Xenopus tropicalis: one gene and its partners. The protein of the gene in region 2 interacts with the protein of the main gene of each other region in a pairwise test. Links are inferred from orthologs where the notes say so. Each region holds a gene or a part of one and is shown on either strand. Other genes may lie near its edges.

Region 1 (4,196 bases), about 130 Mb from region 2:
CTTTGTGTCCTTGAAATGCCAAGGTCTTTTAAATCTCAGTCCAGGCCTGCTACAAATGCACAGTTTAAAGCAGTAAGTGTTGCCCAAACCTAATGATACCCACAACTAAAAAAAGAATATGCCTAGAGTGATGTAAACTGCTGTAAGTACCTTGCTGGGCATCTTGGTATAACAGAAGGATGAATGGACGGTGCAAGGTACTGGAAACCATTGCCTATTTTTCATGTAGTACAGCAAATTAGGCAGTAATGGGGATTGGGGATGGGGTGTTTTGGGATGGGGGGCCTCTGCAGGGGTTCTATCATGAAAAGATGCCTTATTTTGTCCTTTAATATTTCAGTGGTATGATGATTATTAACACAAGGCTTAAAGAACAAAAAAAGAATGACCTACAACTTCTCAGTCAAAGCCTTGATCTCATTACAACTGAGAATATGTTATGATATGGTGCATGGGGAGGGGTAAGGAATGCATTTGCTATAACAATTTCATTTCAGATTTAACTATTTATTCTCTGTGCTAAAACGGTTCCAAAACAGAAAATATTTGTCCATCTTCCCACATGCACTTTGCATGGGTGAGCAAGGATCTTGACAAGTGATAGTGCTCAGTGCTGTAAGGGGGCCATATTTACTATATATGCACTTGTGGGCCTGTGCCTAGGGTGGTAGCTTTAGGTTGGGGGGTGGTCCTTGGGTGCTTATACGTTAAAATAACATATCTGGAAAAAAACCTTTTCTGCTGCTGCGGGATACTTGCAGATTAATCCTGGCAGCAGAGTGGGCCATAGGGGGTACATTAAAAAAAAAAAAAAAAAATATATATATATATATATTATATTTCAGTTTTGGGAACAGATGTCACTAACATCATTAGGAAAAAGTGACCTTTTAACTCCAGATTAAGAAAAAAAAGAACCAAATGGTTTTATGACTCTAATGACACTGATGCTGGCTCCTATAAAAAAAAAAGGTGCATGTCTGTGCCTGGGTGGGTAAATATACAATGCCCAGCTGAGGTTATTCTTGTAGATGGGAAATAAACAGAGGCGTGCATGCTGATTTCCCATCAGTGCCGAGACAGCCATCGACCAATCAGTAAAGTGCTTATTTACAGACTCCCAGGCTCCTGTACTGGTCCTGCTGCAATTTCCACCTTAAGAGAGAACAGACCCCCTTAAGGGCTGCTCAGACGTAGTGAATGATTAAGCAGCGTTAGCAGAGGCTGCAGCACTGACTCCGGGAAAGCTCTGCTGGTCACATCACTGCAGAACCATCCTGAGCAGCAGCAGCAGCAGCAGCGCGTCCTCCATCTCTAGCGAGGCACAGGGGGCTCAGCACAGGGGGCTCAGCACTATCAGTAAGGCAGGCTGCATGCAGAGGAGCCCATTGTACCGGCTGGACACCCTAGCCAGCCTCTTGCATCTGCACCTTGGGAATAGTCAGAGCCTCGCCTGATCTCCATCAGTGACCGGCCGAGCATTGCCAGCAGCATCACCCACAGCTCTAACACATTCCCTGCCGCACAGCTTCCCTGCCCCCCCATCATGGCTGATAACAGCATTAACACTGAGTGCAGCATCAAGGTCCTGTGCAGGTTTCGGCCCCTGAACCAGTCGGAGGTGCAGAGAGGAGACAAATTCCTGCCCATATTCCAAGGCGGGGACACTGTCATCGTTGGGGTAAGTGTTTGTGCCTGTGTATTACTGAGCCCAGCCTCATACTGATTGGCTGATTGCACGCAAGCATCGGATCGTCTCTATTCTACATCGGGGGGCCACACGAACCCCGCTATGGGGGATGGACATGTCTGCACCCTACACCCCCATCTGTGTATTCTATAAGGCACAATGTTCGGGGCATTCCTGCTCCATTCAGCCGCTTGTACAGTGGAACCCACGGCCCCTCCCTGGAGCAGGTTGCTGGGTGTCCATTGTGGGTAGGGTGTGGCAAGGCATCCTGGCTTTACGGCTGTGTTCCTAGTACAGTTGGGGCTGGCTCCGCACAATCTTATCCCCCCCTCCCTTTAGGGGGGCTGCATTGCGCTATTGCTATGCCTCATCTCATTGGTCCCTTGTAAACCATCTGCTTGCTCCCCATTATAAATAAACATGGTTCTACTTATTTGCCTTCTTAGATTTTAAAGACCCCTATTTATGTATAATAAGCAGTGTGCGATGGACTGATCCTTTGTATTGTGTTGTGCTATAACATCTAATTGTTTATTGCATTTAAGAAGTCACCACTCCCCTCAATGGCAGTGCCAAAGTTTCACCTTACTGATTGGATTATATTGCACATATTTATCATTCAGTATGTCTCTTGCCTCTCACTTCTGTCCTTCTATCTGTTCCTCTATCTATCATCTATCATCTATCATCTATCTATCTATCTATCTATCTATCATCTATCTATCTATCTATCTATCTATCATCCATCCATCTATCAATCTATCATCTGTTATCTATCCTTCTGTGTATCTATCTGCCTGTCTATCTACCTATTATCTATCTATCTATCTATCTATCTATCATCTATCGACCTATCTATATATTTATCCCTCTGTGTATCTATCTGTCTGCCTATCTATCTATCTATCTATCTATCTATCTATCTATCTATCTATCTATCATCTATCTATCAATCTATTTATCTATCTATCATCAATCATCTATCTATCCCTCTGTGTATCTGTCTGCCTATCTATCTATCTATCTATCTATCTATCCATTATCTATCTATCTATCTATCTATCTATCTATCTATCTATCTATCATCTATCGACCTATCTATATATTTATCCCTCTGTGTATCTATCTGTCTGCCTATCTATCTATCTATCTATCTATCTATCTATCTATCATCTATCTATCATCTATCTATCTATCTATCTATCTATCTATCATCATCATCTATCTATCATCTATCTATCTATCTATCTATCTATCTATCTATCTATCATCTATCATCCATCTATCAATCTATCATCTGTTATCTATCCTTCTGTGTATCTATCTGCCTGTCTATCTACCTATTATCTATCTATCTATCTATCTATCTATCTATCTATCTATCTATCTATCTATATAACTAGTATCTATCTATCTATCATCTATCCTTCATCCATCCATCATATCTGTTCCATATATCTGTTCTGTTTATCTCCCTCTCTGTCTCGTCATCTTTCTATCTCTGCTTTCTTTTTTAACTCTTAACATCTTCCTATTCTCAAAATATTGTTAAAAGTATTTCATTTATAGTTCTTATTATATCTTAGCTCTGTCGTCTGATGTTTGTTTGTAGTTTTCTTCTTACTTGCTACAGCTTTCTGTCAGTGTGCTTGGAATCCATATTGACATTCGTGACCTCATATAATGTATGTGATGTTGTCATCACTGCTGGTTCCTTGTTGTCTGCACCTTCAATCTGCCTGCACCATCCTATACACTAAATAGCAAAAATGTGTTTTGCAGTGGTATCAGTTTAGTAAAGCCAAATATATATATAGTAATGTTAAGGTTCAGTGGTTTGGTCTAATTATTTGGTGACACAAACAATTTATGGATTTGTCAATACCCTGCCCCTGATGATCTCATTTATTAGATAAGAAAAGGTGACGTGGCCTTTCCAAGGTCACAAGAACAAGCCATTTGGATATCAGAAAAATCCATTTTTAGAACAGCCCTCAGTTTGCTTTCTCCTGTTTTAAAACACAAACATATATCATGTCTATGCAGCATGAATCAAAATATTGTATATTTTACACTGTTCACATTAACCTTATCCTGTGTTATCGCATGTGACTGTAGTACAGTGTCAGGAAAGAGAAGTAAATAGGGGCTGGAGACATTATACAGAATCCAATGAAAGTAGCCATACTTAGTACTTATTTGGGCATCACAGAACCATGTATGTATATACTGGATATGGCATTACTGTCTGTGCCAGCATGGAGCAGTATGTTTCCTGTGTGTTGGACAGGGCTCTCTTCACATCTTGTATGAATTATTGGTTGTTTGTATGTAATTCTGTATGGTCAATGTGTACACCCATTTATTGTACAGCACTGTGGAATATGTTGGCCCTTTATAAATACATGTTAATAATAATGAGGAGTAATGTAAGGCTCACAAGTAAATGCTTCTCCCCAGAAAGGGTTCATATAATCCCCACCATATTGCAGAGAGTACTATAGAG
Region 2 (4,244 bases):
TTGCTTTTAAAAAGTGGTCTTTCTGACCCTCGCTATTCCCTCTATTGTTAAGCTGTACCATTAAACAACGTAGGGGTATCCAGGCATTTTCCAGCCAAGAGTCCAATCCCCATAATGCCTATCATGAGTCTGTGATTCTGTACAGGCCTGTTACTCACAGAACACAGCTTTCTTGCCCTGACCTTATAATGTTCACACAGCCAACATCCTTCCACAACGCCTTCATTCCATTATTCAACCTAACACCCCTACGCTATAAGATCCCCCCAATTCTCCCTGCGCCTGGGATCTATGGAACAGAGGAGAATCAGAGCCAGACGGCACAACCCACCCTGACCCTGCTCAGCAGCGCCCCTTCTGCAGAGTCCCCCCGCATCATTGTCATGTGACGCATAGCTACGGCAGCCATCTTAAGGCCTGGCATATTAACCTCAACATCTGTCTTGCCAATCTAACGCATTCTTTCTGTATCCCTTATTTCTGAAGTATTTTTTTTTATTGTACTCTGTATCTTTTTATAAAAACTGTGTTGTGATTCATGATTTTATGTTTTTATGTTCTGTGAAACAAATGTTAATTATGAATTTACTATGAACTTGGTTTCAATAAAGCTCTTTGAAACCTTATTGCTGAAGTATTGCTTTCATAGTCAGTGCAAAGCTCCTGAGTGAAGGGTAAAAATGCAAAATGTCTTGGGCCCCTTTAGGGCAAAGACACACGGAGCTACTAGTAGCAGCTACTTGTCACGGCTACTAAAACAGACAATGCTGATCATTTACTGATAATTGTCTCTACATGTGTTTTAGCAGAGGCAATTCTCAGTATTGTCTATGGCAGGGTATTTTCTGGAGTTTAGTAGCTGCTACTAAGTATCTCCGTGTGTCTTTACCCTTATCTGTGTCTGAGCAAAGTGGTTTACATAAATGAATCAATCGCACCCTGCATAATCCACAGTTGCTCAACTAAAGAATAGGTAATATGTATCTATAGCATAAATAAATTTGAAGCAACTGGACTTGTTTAGTTCTCAGTTGCTTCAAATTTATTTATACTAGATATACCATGACCTGGATGAATGAAAATCTTCATAGACATGTATCTATAGCCTTCCCGAGGCTGGAAGCTCCTTATAACGTCCTTTCTGCCCAACCCTATCTCTGGATTAATGTTTCCAATCTGTCTTTGTCACATGCTATGCTTTACCCCTCACATAAAGGTTTAAGTGTTAGCGCCCTCAAGGCTAATGGCCGCCGTAGACACCAGCGGTGTGAGTCATGTGAGGAGTTCGCTGGCGTGATGACGACACCACACCCATTGAATGGCAGGGAGAAAAAGAACGCGGCATACTATTGGTTGAAGCTACAGAATAGGCGTGTCTTTCCTTGTTTTTGATTGGGCCGGCACCGCGTGACGTCAGAAAGCGGGTTGGTGGTGTGGGTGCGTAGTATTGGTGGGAGGGGACGGCGGTGCGGGGTGAGGGGATCCGCACTGTACTACAGGCACAAGGGGAGAGTCGTACGGACACGGGCATTGGGAGAGTAGTAAGGGGAGGAGGGGCGCTGAAGCAGAGGGCATGTTGCCATACAGCCGAGCTGTCTGAGAGGGGAGCCGTATTGGACATAGCCGGTGCTAATCCCTGTGGCAGAGGAGAGGGTGGAGGACCGCTATGAGGTGAGAGCTGTGCCGGGGCGCATTATTATCACCATTAAATATGATTAATGCTTTGCCTGGATTATGTGCGGGGTGGAACAGCTGCAGCCACCAATGGCTCGGCAAATGGCTGAGGGATATGGAGTTGGGCGGCCAACATGGGATTTGGGGATTCAGTTAATTACATGGCAATGCTTGCAATTCTGTATGTCAGTGATTTCCCCATGCTGATGTCCTGCAATGGAATAAACCAACATAGGGGAGCACTCTAGGGAGACAAGCAGTGCTGGCTGGGGGGCTCCACCCAAGGGAGAATGGCATAGCCATCTACCAATTCATTAATACAATGTATCTGCTACCAACAGCAGCATCCTTCTGTCTATATGCCTTGTGTTTCTGACTCCTGAAACAATGTAGCAGAACCCTGGGCAGATGTGACATTGCAACACTGTTTCACAAGTCAAGGCTAAACACATAAATGTTGCCTGAAAAGCAATTACATTTACTCAAAACTTTGAGCTTTAACATAAAGTGGAAACCTACTTACAACTGCATATTCTTCAACTAATAATAACTACAAAAGATATAAACACATTTTATTGACCCAAGGTCCTTGTAATGCTTCTATAGGGGGCCAGTACATTGACTTACATAGGCATTGAGACCCCATGGTTTTCTTTGTATATATAAACCGTCATATAGAGGGGCACCTCTCTGAACAAATATGGCTTACTGCTATGTATGTATGTATACAGGATCAGGGCAATAGGCATTATAGCTAAAAATATGTGTTTCCTAAATTTCAGTTTGTCATTATTATTTGGATTTTAGATGGAATTTAAATTAAGTAGCAGTGCCATATTTATCATGAATTGTAATGTAAAAATGATCTATATCTATCTATCCTTCCTCCTGGTAAGGGCGGTCCAATTTCTGTTTGAAGTGCGTTTCCCAGGTATTCATTTTTTAGGAATCTGTTGCCTTCTAAGGTGTCATTTAGTCTCAGCACTTTGATTTTCAGCCAATGTACAGGTATGGGATCCCTTATCCGGAAACCTGTTATCCAGAAAGTTCCAAATTATGGAAAGGCCATTGCCCATATACTCCATTATAAACAAATAATTCTAATTTTTATAAATGATTTCCCTTTTCTCTGTAATAATAAAACAGTACCTGTACTTGATCCCAACTAAGATATATTTACCCCTTATTGGGGGCAGAACAGCCCTATTGGGTTTATTTAATGGTTAAATGATTCCCTTTTCTCTGTAATAATAAAACAGTACCTGTACTTGATCCCAACTAAGATATAATTACCCCTTATTGGGGGCAGAACAGCCCTATTGGGTTTATTTAATGGTTAAATGATTCCCTTTTCTCTGTAATAATAAAACAGTACCTGTACTTGATCCCAACTAAGATATAATTACCCCTTATTGGGGCAGAACAGCCCTATTGGGTTTATTTAATGGTTAAATGATTCCCTTTTCTCTGTAATAATAAAACAGTACCTGTACTTGATCCCAACTAAGATATAATTACCCCTTATTGGGGGCAGAACAGCCCTATTGGGTTTATTTAATGGTTAAATGATTCCCTTTTCTCTGTAATAATAAAACAGTACCTGTACTTGATCCCAACTAAGATATATTTACCCCTTATTGAGGCAGAACAGCCCTATTGGGTTTATTTAATGGTTAAATGATTCCCTTTTCTCTGTAATAATAAAACAGTACCTGTACTTGATCCCAACTAAGATATAATTACCCCTTATTGGGGCAGAACAGCCCTATTGGGTTTATTCAATATTTAAATGATGTTTAGGAGATTTAAGTTACGGAGATCCAAATTATGGAAAGATCCCTTATCCGCAAAACCCCAGGTCCTGAGCATTCTGGATAGCAGGTCCCATACCTGTACTTGCACCTAGATGGTTAGCCCTAGGGGAATTTCTGTGCTCTAGAGTGTAAGCTCTTGTGAGCAGGTTGGGGGGCACTTGTGCTAGTTTTTCCTCACTGTTGTGGAAGCTCTAATGTTTGATAAATGATGAAAAGGCTTGGCTATATGGGAAGTCTCACCCCCTTACACAGTGACCCCACCCCCCCATGTTTGTAGGTCACCGCTCCCATCACAGCTTTGGCAGGTTTTTATATTGCCTCCTTCCTAGTGATAACGTGCAGCGCTGGATTAGGAGACATGACGCAAGCAGCTAATGTTTCAGAGCAATCGTGGTATCTGGGCTTCGTACACTTTCTCATTCTCCCTATGAAGGGATCCTCTGTGAGGAACGACCCACCCTATTCTGGCTTGTACTCCTATTCATTCATTGCTTGTCCTTTCATTGCTGTTGGCTGTGCTGAGTAATTTGGTGTACTACCAACATTAGAGATCATTGTACGGTCGTATTTCGAAATAGTCTCGCTACTAACCATTCGTGTTCCGACCTTTTGCCAATCGTCAGGGACAGATAAAAACATGTAAGTTGCATCCTGTTATTAGAGTGTGATGGGTTTTTCCTGTTTTTAGAATGTGATGAGTTTTTACTTCAGCTGGTTATCGCTTTAGATACCCGCAGTCTGGGACAGATTGTAGTT
Region 3 (3,951 bases), on a different chromosome or scaffold from region 2:
TTCCCTCTTTGATAAATATGACCCAATGAGTCTGAGCTATTAAACAGTGTACTAAAGAATGAGTTTTGTTTTGAATCAGCTTATCTGCAACATGGAGCTTTGCTTATCTGCATCATTTTAGCCTACAGCTGGATCATTACAAGTGTGAAAGGTTTTTTCCCTTTGTTTTTTTTTCTATTTTTGGGGGGGAGAGGGGGCATAGTCAAGTACAGTAATAGTTCAATTAATTTGCAAGTTAAGTTTCAAATTCAAAATCCATAATAATTATCTTATTTTATAAAAAAGAATGTAAACTAAACTGCAGTTGCACGTCTGTATCTACAGCAATTATGCAGAAATATCTGCTTTTTGTTCTTTGATATCTGCTACTGTATATATTGCTATATATAGATAACAATTGTATGCATATTTATATAGAACTGCAAATATCTGAATGACACTTGGCATGCACAGCTAAAGGAATGATATTAAAAATAATTGTGTGTATATATATTATATATATATATAAGGTCATGCTCTGCACTAAATTTTAAACCATTAAGTGCACTGAGGATGTGATCACAAAATTCATATAGACAGATATTATTGTAGCGCCCATCCTTCCCAGCTACAGTCAGGTGATCCCAATGGTGGCCAATAAAAGAGCAACTATTTAGAAGTTTTTTCCTTGAAAGCAAGCAACTTGCATGTAAAACTCTGTGTAAAATGTATAATGAAGCCATAGAATTCTTAATGAATCAGGTGAAAGTGAGTGTAGGACTGGCCAGACCAGGGATGACTTTGACAGAGTTGACAGCTTGAATATTTTACAGTTAATGGACTAACAATCCCTTTTTTGTTTAAAGAGAAGGTAATTTCTTCAGAATGTAGTATATGTATATACAGTATATAGATAATAGGTAAGTATTGAGGACCTGTTGTTTCTGTCTATATGAACTTTGTGGTCACAGCTTCATTGGACCTGCTTAATGCTTTAATATTTAGTGGGGAGCACAAGTTCCCCTTTTTTGCTAATATAAAATAGCAATATTGTAATATATATGTATTATAAAATCTGTTAAATAGTCAGAATTGCTCATTTGTTTCTTATTTTTCAGGAATAAAGTAAAGTTCTGCTCATCAACCAACATCAATAGTCAATGACTTAGCAGTATTCTTAAAAACAACAATGAAGGGATTATCGAGCAGCCGCAGCCATCATCATGGGGTTGTATGTGATTCAGTATGTGAAACTCTGCCTCATCACACAGATAGAAAGCCATATTTGCTGAATCCCGTGGATCCTCACCCTGCAGATCACCCATACTATGCTCAAAGGAACTCCTATCCAGTAGATCATATGATATCCTATGGGGACCAGATTGCCAGCAGTACATTTCCCAGAAGACATTATAGTTCCCACCATGACATTAAAGATGATTGTGCTCTAGTTCCCCATGGATCAGTTGGAAAAGGCAACCGCCTTCCTTCATCTCTCTTGGATCAGTTTGAAAGACAAATTCCCATTAATCGTGATGGGTATCATACGTTGCAATACAAAAGAAGTGCAGTTGAACACCGCAGTGATAGTCCTGGGAGGATCCGCCATTTAGTCCATTCAGTTCAAAGACTCTTCACTAAATCCCATTCCCTTGAGGGTCCAATGAAAGGAAATGCCAATGGAAACAAAGCTAATTCAGATGAAATGCAGACTGTGAGATATGGAAAACGTAGTAAGAGCAAAGAAAGGAGAGCAGAAGTAAAACCTAGGGCTAATATACAAGGATGGTGGGGGTCACAGGATAACTTAGACAATGATGTTTGCATCTACCACGGTCCATCTACTGTCATGACTATGGGGAGATGCCCTGATCGTTCCACTTCCCAGTATTTTATGGAAGCATACAATACAATTAACGATCATGCATTAAAGTCATCACGAAGCAATAATGATGTGAAATGCAACACTTGTACGAATCTACCTGTGAGTTTGGATAGTCAGATGTTAAAGAAAAGTTCTTGGGCATCTTCACTAACAGTAAGCAGGGCACGGGAGGTCTATCAGAAACCTGCTATAAATATGGACCAAGCTCTAGTTAAATCTGAATCAATGACTCAACCACAAGAGCGACCATGTCAGTACCTGCAGGTAGGAGCTCCTGTTTCTTGGCTTGTTTTTATTTGATTGGTTGTCTTTTGCCCAGGTTTTATAACAAAATGGAGAAACTGAATTCTCTTAGGGCTGCTGCCCAAATTGAATTTATTATAATCCACACCTACTAATTACCAATGGTTTTTTTTATCTCAGGACTATTGAGACAATTTAGGGAATTTAGCTCTTAGAGTATAGCTTTTAAAATGTGTTAAGACCCAGGTGTTCTGTGCGTTATACCCAAGTGACCTAGTCTATCTGCTCTTTTGCCAAACACATGTAATGGTAGTATTTCAGCAGTCAGCTAAAAGACTAAATCACTGGGGACAAATGTCGACTGAGCTGCCAACAAACTCAGGGACTAAATAGTGTAATCATTTGCATAACTTAAATAAATCCTTTTATTCCTAAACAGATGTTTATATGGCAGCAAAGACATTTTAGAGGCCCCTGCTGGAATGCTAAAAAGACACAATTCATAGTTTAATCCATGGTGTACCAAAATAGGATAGGGTCAGTGTTACAGAGGATTTTATGCTTAACTGCCTATGTAAACTGAAACATAAAATGGACCCACAAATTGGATATAGGTAGGCACCCCACAAAATCCACCCTACTCCAGGCTTGTGATAACAAAGTATATTTATTCTGTGTATTTCAACATAAGCTCAGCCCTATGGATTTCATGCTACACATAGCACTTTCTTATAGCAATAGTAATTGCTATGCATAGCATAAAATAATACATGCACCTCACCTCCATACCTGTTCCCAGATGTCACTTTAAAAACTTGGTAACCTTACCCGATGTACTACTTGAGCTGTGGGTTCATATTGAATCCTAGTGGAGAAAATTAACCATTTGATTGTAGGGTAAATGCAATATAAACAAATGAGTCATAAACCAATTTTTCTTGCCATGGATTTTTCTGGCCTATTATAAATCAAAGCAAACCTAGAGAAGCTAGAAGCATAGGAAATGCTTTTTCTGCTGATTCTTTTTGTTCCCAGAAAGAATCAGTGTTCCTGTGTTGATGTCTCTGCAATTTACTGGAATTGCTGCTACAAGCCAAGACGTTAGGCTGACTGGCTATAGTATATTCAGCTGTGGTTAACCTAAACTGTAGGATCTACTGAAGAACAAGAGTTACCCAGCTCACTAATTTGTGCCCCAGGCTGGGCAAATGCAGAACGGGATTGACCAATGCAAATCCCAGCACAATAAGCCTGTTTCTATCTAAAGTAGACATTTGTTATCCCAGGGATATTAGTTGTTTTAAGAATCAGCAGCAAACAAAATATGAGTGTTTTAAAACAATCAAAATATAATGTACTGTGGCCCTGCACTGGTAACATGGGTGTGTTTGCCTAATAAACACTACTATAGTTTATATAAATACCCAGCTGTGTAGCCATGGGGGCAGCCATTCAAGCTTGAAAAAAAGCAGATAAGGCAAAGGTTACATAGCAGTTAACAGATGGGCTCTATAGAATACAATGGTATTGTATCTATTACCTGCAATGTAACCTGTGCCTTTTCTCCTTTTTTCCAGCTTGAATGGCTGCCCCCATGGCTACACAGCTGTGTATTTACTGTATATAAATTATAGTAACATTTATAAAGCAAAAATACAACTTTTACCTGTGTACAGCAACACTACACTAGTGGACTCATTTACTAACCATCGATATTTAATTTTAAACTTTTCGAAATTTTTTCGAAAAAGTTGCAGAGAAAAAACGCTGCAACTTTTCCAAGATTTACTATGTATTTAAACTGCTAAAAATCTGAATTTGACAATTTGCCAGATTAAACTTGG
Region 4 (4,241 bases), on a different chromosome or scaffold from region 2:
GGCAGGTTCTAATTATTAACGTATGTGCGTATGTGCCATTCGGGAAGGGATTGGAAACAATGGGTACCCTCCTCCCCCTCAGTTCCGCTACAGGATTATAAAACAACTAAGGAAATGTTTCATTTTTTTTTAATTTAAAGGGATTCTGTCATGATTTTTATGGGGTACTTTCTAAATTACACAGTTTACATAGCTAATAATTCACTCCACCATTTAAAATTTTATTCTTGAACCAACAAATGTATTTTTTTCAGCTGTAATATTGGTGTGTAGGCGCCATCTCAGTGCAGAGAGTCTGAGCTTTCAGATGTAGCCAGCGCTACACATTATAACTGCTTTCAGGTAACCTATTGTTTCTCCTACTCCCATGTAACTGGAGGAGTCCCAAGCCGGACTTGGATTCCTTACTATTGAGTGCTATTCTGATACCGGGAGCTGCTATCTTGTTCCCTTCCCATTGTTCTGCTGATCGGCTTCGGGGGGGGGGGATATCACTCCAACTTGGGGCGCAGCAGTAAAGTGTGACTGAAGTTTATCAGAGCACAGGTCACATGGCTGTGGCACCCTGGGAAATGAAGAATATGGCTAGCCCAATGTGAAATTTCAAAATGAAATATAAAAAAATATGTGTTTTTGAAAAATGGATTTCAATGCAGGATCCTGCTGGAGAAGCTAATGCTTTTTTTAAAACAACATGTTTTCCCATGACTGTATTCCTTAATATAGGTACCTGTGAGATGCCCCCCTGACGCTGCAGCCCTAGGCAAGAGCCCTTGGGTGCCTATATGATCAGTACAGCCCTTCCCACTTGAAATTAGTCTGAAGATCTAAACCTAAAAGGTAACTAAAGCTCAGCAAGTAATTTGGCTAGAAATGCTAGAACCTGTTATAAGTGATGACTAAACCCAGTGTTTATACCTGCATCCCCCCCCCCCCCCCCCCATTCAGTCGCAGCATCCTAGGAAATCTCTTATAGCGCCAGTATAGCCAGGCTGCCCACGTAGGTTTCCCATATAAGGAGCACCCACCAGAGAGGGATATCCCTTTGCACCACCCCTTTGGCGAAAAGAAATCCGTGCTGCATTAGCCCAGAGCAAGGCACCCAGCCGCACCCCCACCCTCACATTGTACAGCCAATCTATCCCGCAGCTCATTAGTCGCAAAGAATCCATCTTGGAGCCGTTATACGGCAGCATTGTCAGGGAGGGGGCGATGCGCGAAAATCAAGGCGCATATATTAAAATGCGAAGGATTGCAGCACTGTAAGGCAGACGATGACTCAAGCTCCCCCAGCCCGATCCCTCCGCCCCATGATAGATGTCTATTAAAAGCTGCTGACGTCAAGAAGGACGGCCATCTTTGATGAGGGCAGAGCTCAGTTCCATTGAAGAAGACGACTTGAGGAGGTCAGGAACGGTGGTTCTTACCTCCCTGCAAATACTGCCTTCAAATAAGGTTGTAGAGTAGCCTTAGAGTCTGGTTACGCCCTACTCACGGTAAGACTACCACTGCTTGTCGCTTCTACGTTTTCCTATTGCATTACTATTTATCCAACCTTTAGCCCAAGATTGCGATTGTTGTATGTGTCTACAAATCAGGTCTGGGGCTGTCAGTCGAATGGAAGGCGGCGTTTTTTTTTTTGTTATTTTTAATCTCGCTTTTGAACAAATTTATTTTCGTGTTGCACAGGCTGCAAGGGATTTAATCATCCTTGGCGTTTGTCGCAAGGAAATCGGGCTTTTCCGCGTCCCTTTGGGCACAGCGCTCGGCTCTGTAGGAATAGACGTGAGAGCAGCCCCATAGACTGTGCTTGTGGGCGGTTTCAGCACCGCAGCTCGGCGGACAGCGCTCTACTGCAGAGTGAGTGCAGCAAAAACGCCCGCTCCCTGCCGCAGCGTCTGGCACCGACACGCTGTACTGTAGGGAAGGGATTTACTCGCCTCCAGCCTATACCTTACCCCACAGCAGATTTGTGGGCTTCTGGCTGCGATTATTATGATCAGATAGTGCCAGGGGCACTGCTAACATTAGCTGCCATACTTTATAGAATGTATACGCGTTCCTGACCTCCAACAAGGTGTAGTTAGATACTGGATAGATGGGTACATGCTAGATAGATAGATCAATGACAGATAGATATAGTGTATATGTATCTGATATGTCCAAACAGCTGTTGTTGAACTACAACTTACTCTGAAACTCCCAACAGCCTTGTAACTTCACAACAGCATGTTGGGGGCATAGGTTGCATATCTCATGTGTGGGATATAAAGGTGTGCAGTGTATGTTCGCATGTTTCATATTAAATTCATATGTAAAGGTATATATTTTTATATGAAGAGCTTAGAACTTCAAAGACTAATGGGGGGGTGGGAATGGTGACACGTCCAGACAGTTCTGCGTACTTGCGTCAAAAGGCAGGCTTTGAAGCTGTTAGATTTACGTGCAGGGGCATTAGTAATTACTGCTGGTTTTGTTACCCACTAGAGAGAAAGCGAGGGGGAGGGGATCTGCATTCTAGCTGAAGAAGGGAGGGAGGCAGGGCACTGCTAGACTTACATCCCTAGTGGCAGAGGAACACATTCAGGGCTGCTGGAATTGTTTGTAGAGCTGCTTCACCTTTACACAGACATTGTAGCTGCTCAGATGGGCGGCAGGGGACTTCTACAGGCAAAACTAACCTGCGCCCTAAGAGAATATTTATCAGAAGCAATTGCACTGCAGTTATTAGCTTGTTTGTGTCTTATACCCATCTCATTTCACTGATAAATAAGATATGTATTACTTGGTCACATGATCAGTGATCAATCAATGCATCTGACAGTGAAACCCAGTAATGATCTATTTTGCAGCAGATTGCCACCTGTCCCTGATAGTAATATTATAGCAAATGGTGCAGTTTCATCATGCAAAGCGATGTGTTGTGGAATGACTGTAAAACAGAGAGACCCCACCCCAATGCACCTTTTCAGCCAGCTCCCAAGGACTGAGTTGGGCACTGCTGTAGCACAGACCATGGCAGCACGTAGCAAGGGAAAAATACAAATAATGTTGGATTTGGTTGAACTGCTATTACAGTACATTTGGATATCTGGTTACGGGTATCTTGCATTGCAAGAACAAAACTCCTAGATTGGTCTATATCTCGTGTTCTATCAGGATAAAGGCTATTACAATGACATTTGTATACCTGTTAAAAGTGTATATATACTGTATATTTAATTCTATGCTCTTCACTTGTTTTATTAACACCTCTGTACTGCAGGTTTGTTTAGACTGTCGGATATTCATTTGCTGATAAATACAGCTGAATACGTTAATGTTAGTGAGTTGAGTAGAACGTAGCTGTAGCATAATCATATAAATTATTGACCTGTAAATGAAGTATATTACAATAGATTCTCCCATTCCACTCATTAATCAAAGGGCGCTCATGTGTTTACATACATAAAACATGATGCAAAGGAAACAGATGGCATTTGTGTACATGGAAGTCCCTTTAATGTAGAGGTTATTCAGAATCAGAATTTGGAATTGGATTTTTGATGCATCTCTGGAGATTGCGAGGCAGGCTGCATTTCTTTTTTTTTTTTTACAACGCAGGAAATGCGTACTGAGGAAAACAGATAGAGGTGCTATATCAGGGGATTACTGTGGATGAGTCCTCTTGTTCAGATCAGTAGGCCAACAACCTGTACAATATCCTGCTTTGAGACTGTCTGGCTAAATAAATGAAGTGACAAATGTGGCATAAACCTCTCCTAATGTCATATAGTGATCTGTATAATATATCATTTGACTATGAGACAGAGCCTTTTACATTCATTAATTTGCCCTATTATCATAGGCACATTTTGGTTAATGCAGGATATAAAGTAATACGTATACATTTGTGTATAATGATTGTTATAGTGCTTCTTATTAATGTAAGCAACTGAAACCCCAGTCCCTCTTTTGCAAACTGCGTCACTGGAACAGCTATTTACAAAAAAACAGGCCTATTGATTCATGGATTCTTGTATTGCAGTATAGTATGGCAGCGCTCCTTTAATACAGCATTGCAGTGAATTTTTGAGCACTGTAACTAATTTTTAATAGTCGGAAAAGTAATGGCTGTTATTTCGCACATAACCACGTTCATGTAATTGGTACATTATTATATGCATTGCCTTTTAGTAATAGAGCTAGGGAAGCAAAGTCAACACAAACCGACAACATTGCATTCACCAACACACTTTATT

The links.
Region 1: the proteins of itsn1 (region 2) and kif5a interact in a two-hybrid assay, tested with the Homo sapiens proteins (2 studies listed by BioGRID and IntAct). The link is inferred for Xenopus tropicalis from reciprocal best matches to the Homo sapiens genes ITSN1 and KIF5A.
Region 3: the proteins of itsn1 (region 2) and dlgap1 interact in a two-hybrid assay, tested with the Homo sapiens proteins (2 studies listed by BioGRID and IntAct). The link is inferred for Xenopus tropicalis from reciprocal best matches to the Homo sapiens genes ITSN1 and DLGAP1.
Region 4: the proteins of itsn1 (region 2) and snap25 interact in a two-hybrid assay, tested with the Homo sapiens proteins (2 studies listed by BioGRID and IntAct). The link is inferred for Xenopus tropicalis from reciprocal best matches to the Homo sapiens genes ITSN1 and SNAP25.

What each region holds. Positions count from the first base shown.
Region 1 is NC_030678.2:140,672,474-140,676,669, forward strand, and holds the start of kif5a (kinesin heavy chain), read left to right. Parts: upstream 1-1,383; 5' UTR 1,384-1,546; coding exon 1,547-1,681; intron 1,682-4,196. UniProt on the Homo sapiens protein: Microtubule-dependent motor required for slow axonal transport of neurofilament proteins (NFH, NFM and NFL). Can induce formation of neurite-like membrane protrusions in non-neuronal cells in a ZFYVE27-dependent manner.
Region 2 is NC_030678.2:14,137,933-14,142,176, forward strand, and holds the start of itsn1 (intersectin-1), read left to right. Parts: upstream 1-1,437; 5' UTR 1,438-1,671; intron 1,672-4,244. UniProt on the Homo sapiens protein: Adapter protein that provides a link between the endocytic membrane traffic and the actin assembly machinery. Acts as a guanine nucleotide exchange factor (GEF) for CDC42, and thereby stimulates actin nucleation mediated by WASL and the ARP2/3 complex.
Region 3 is NC_030682.2:106,711,744-106,715,694, forward strand, and holds the start of dlgap1 (disks large-associated protein 1), read left to right. Parts: upstream 1-1,138; 5' UTR 1,139-1,168; coding exon 1,169-2,128; intron 2,129-3,951. UniProt on the Homo sapiens protein: Part of the postsynaptic scaffold in neuronal cells.
Region 4 is NC_030681.2:26,669,155-26,673,395, forward strand, and holds the start of snap25 (synaptosomal-associated protein 25), read left to right. Parts: upstream 1-1,428; 5' UTR 1,429-1,496; intron 1,497-4,241.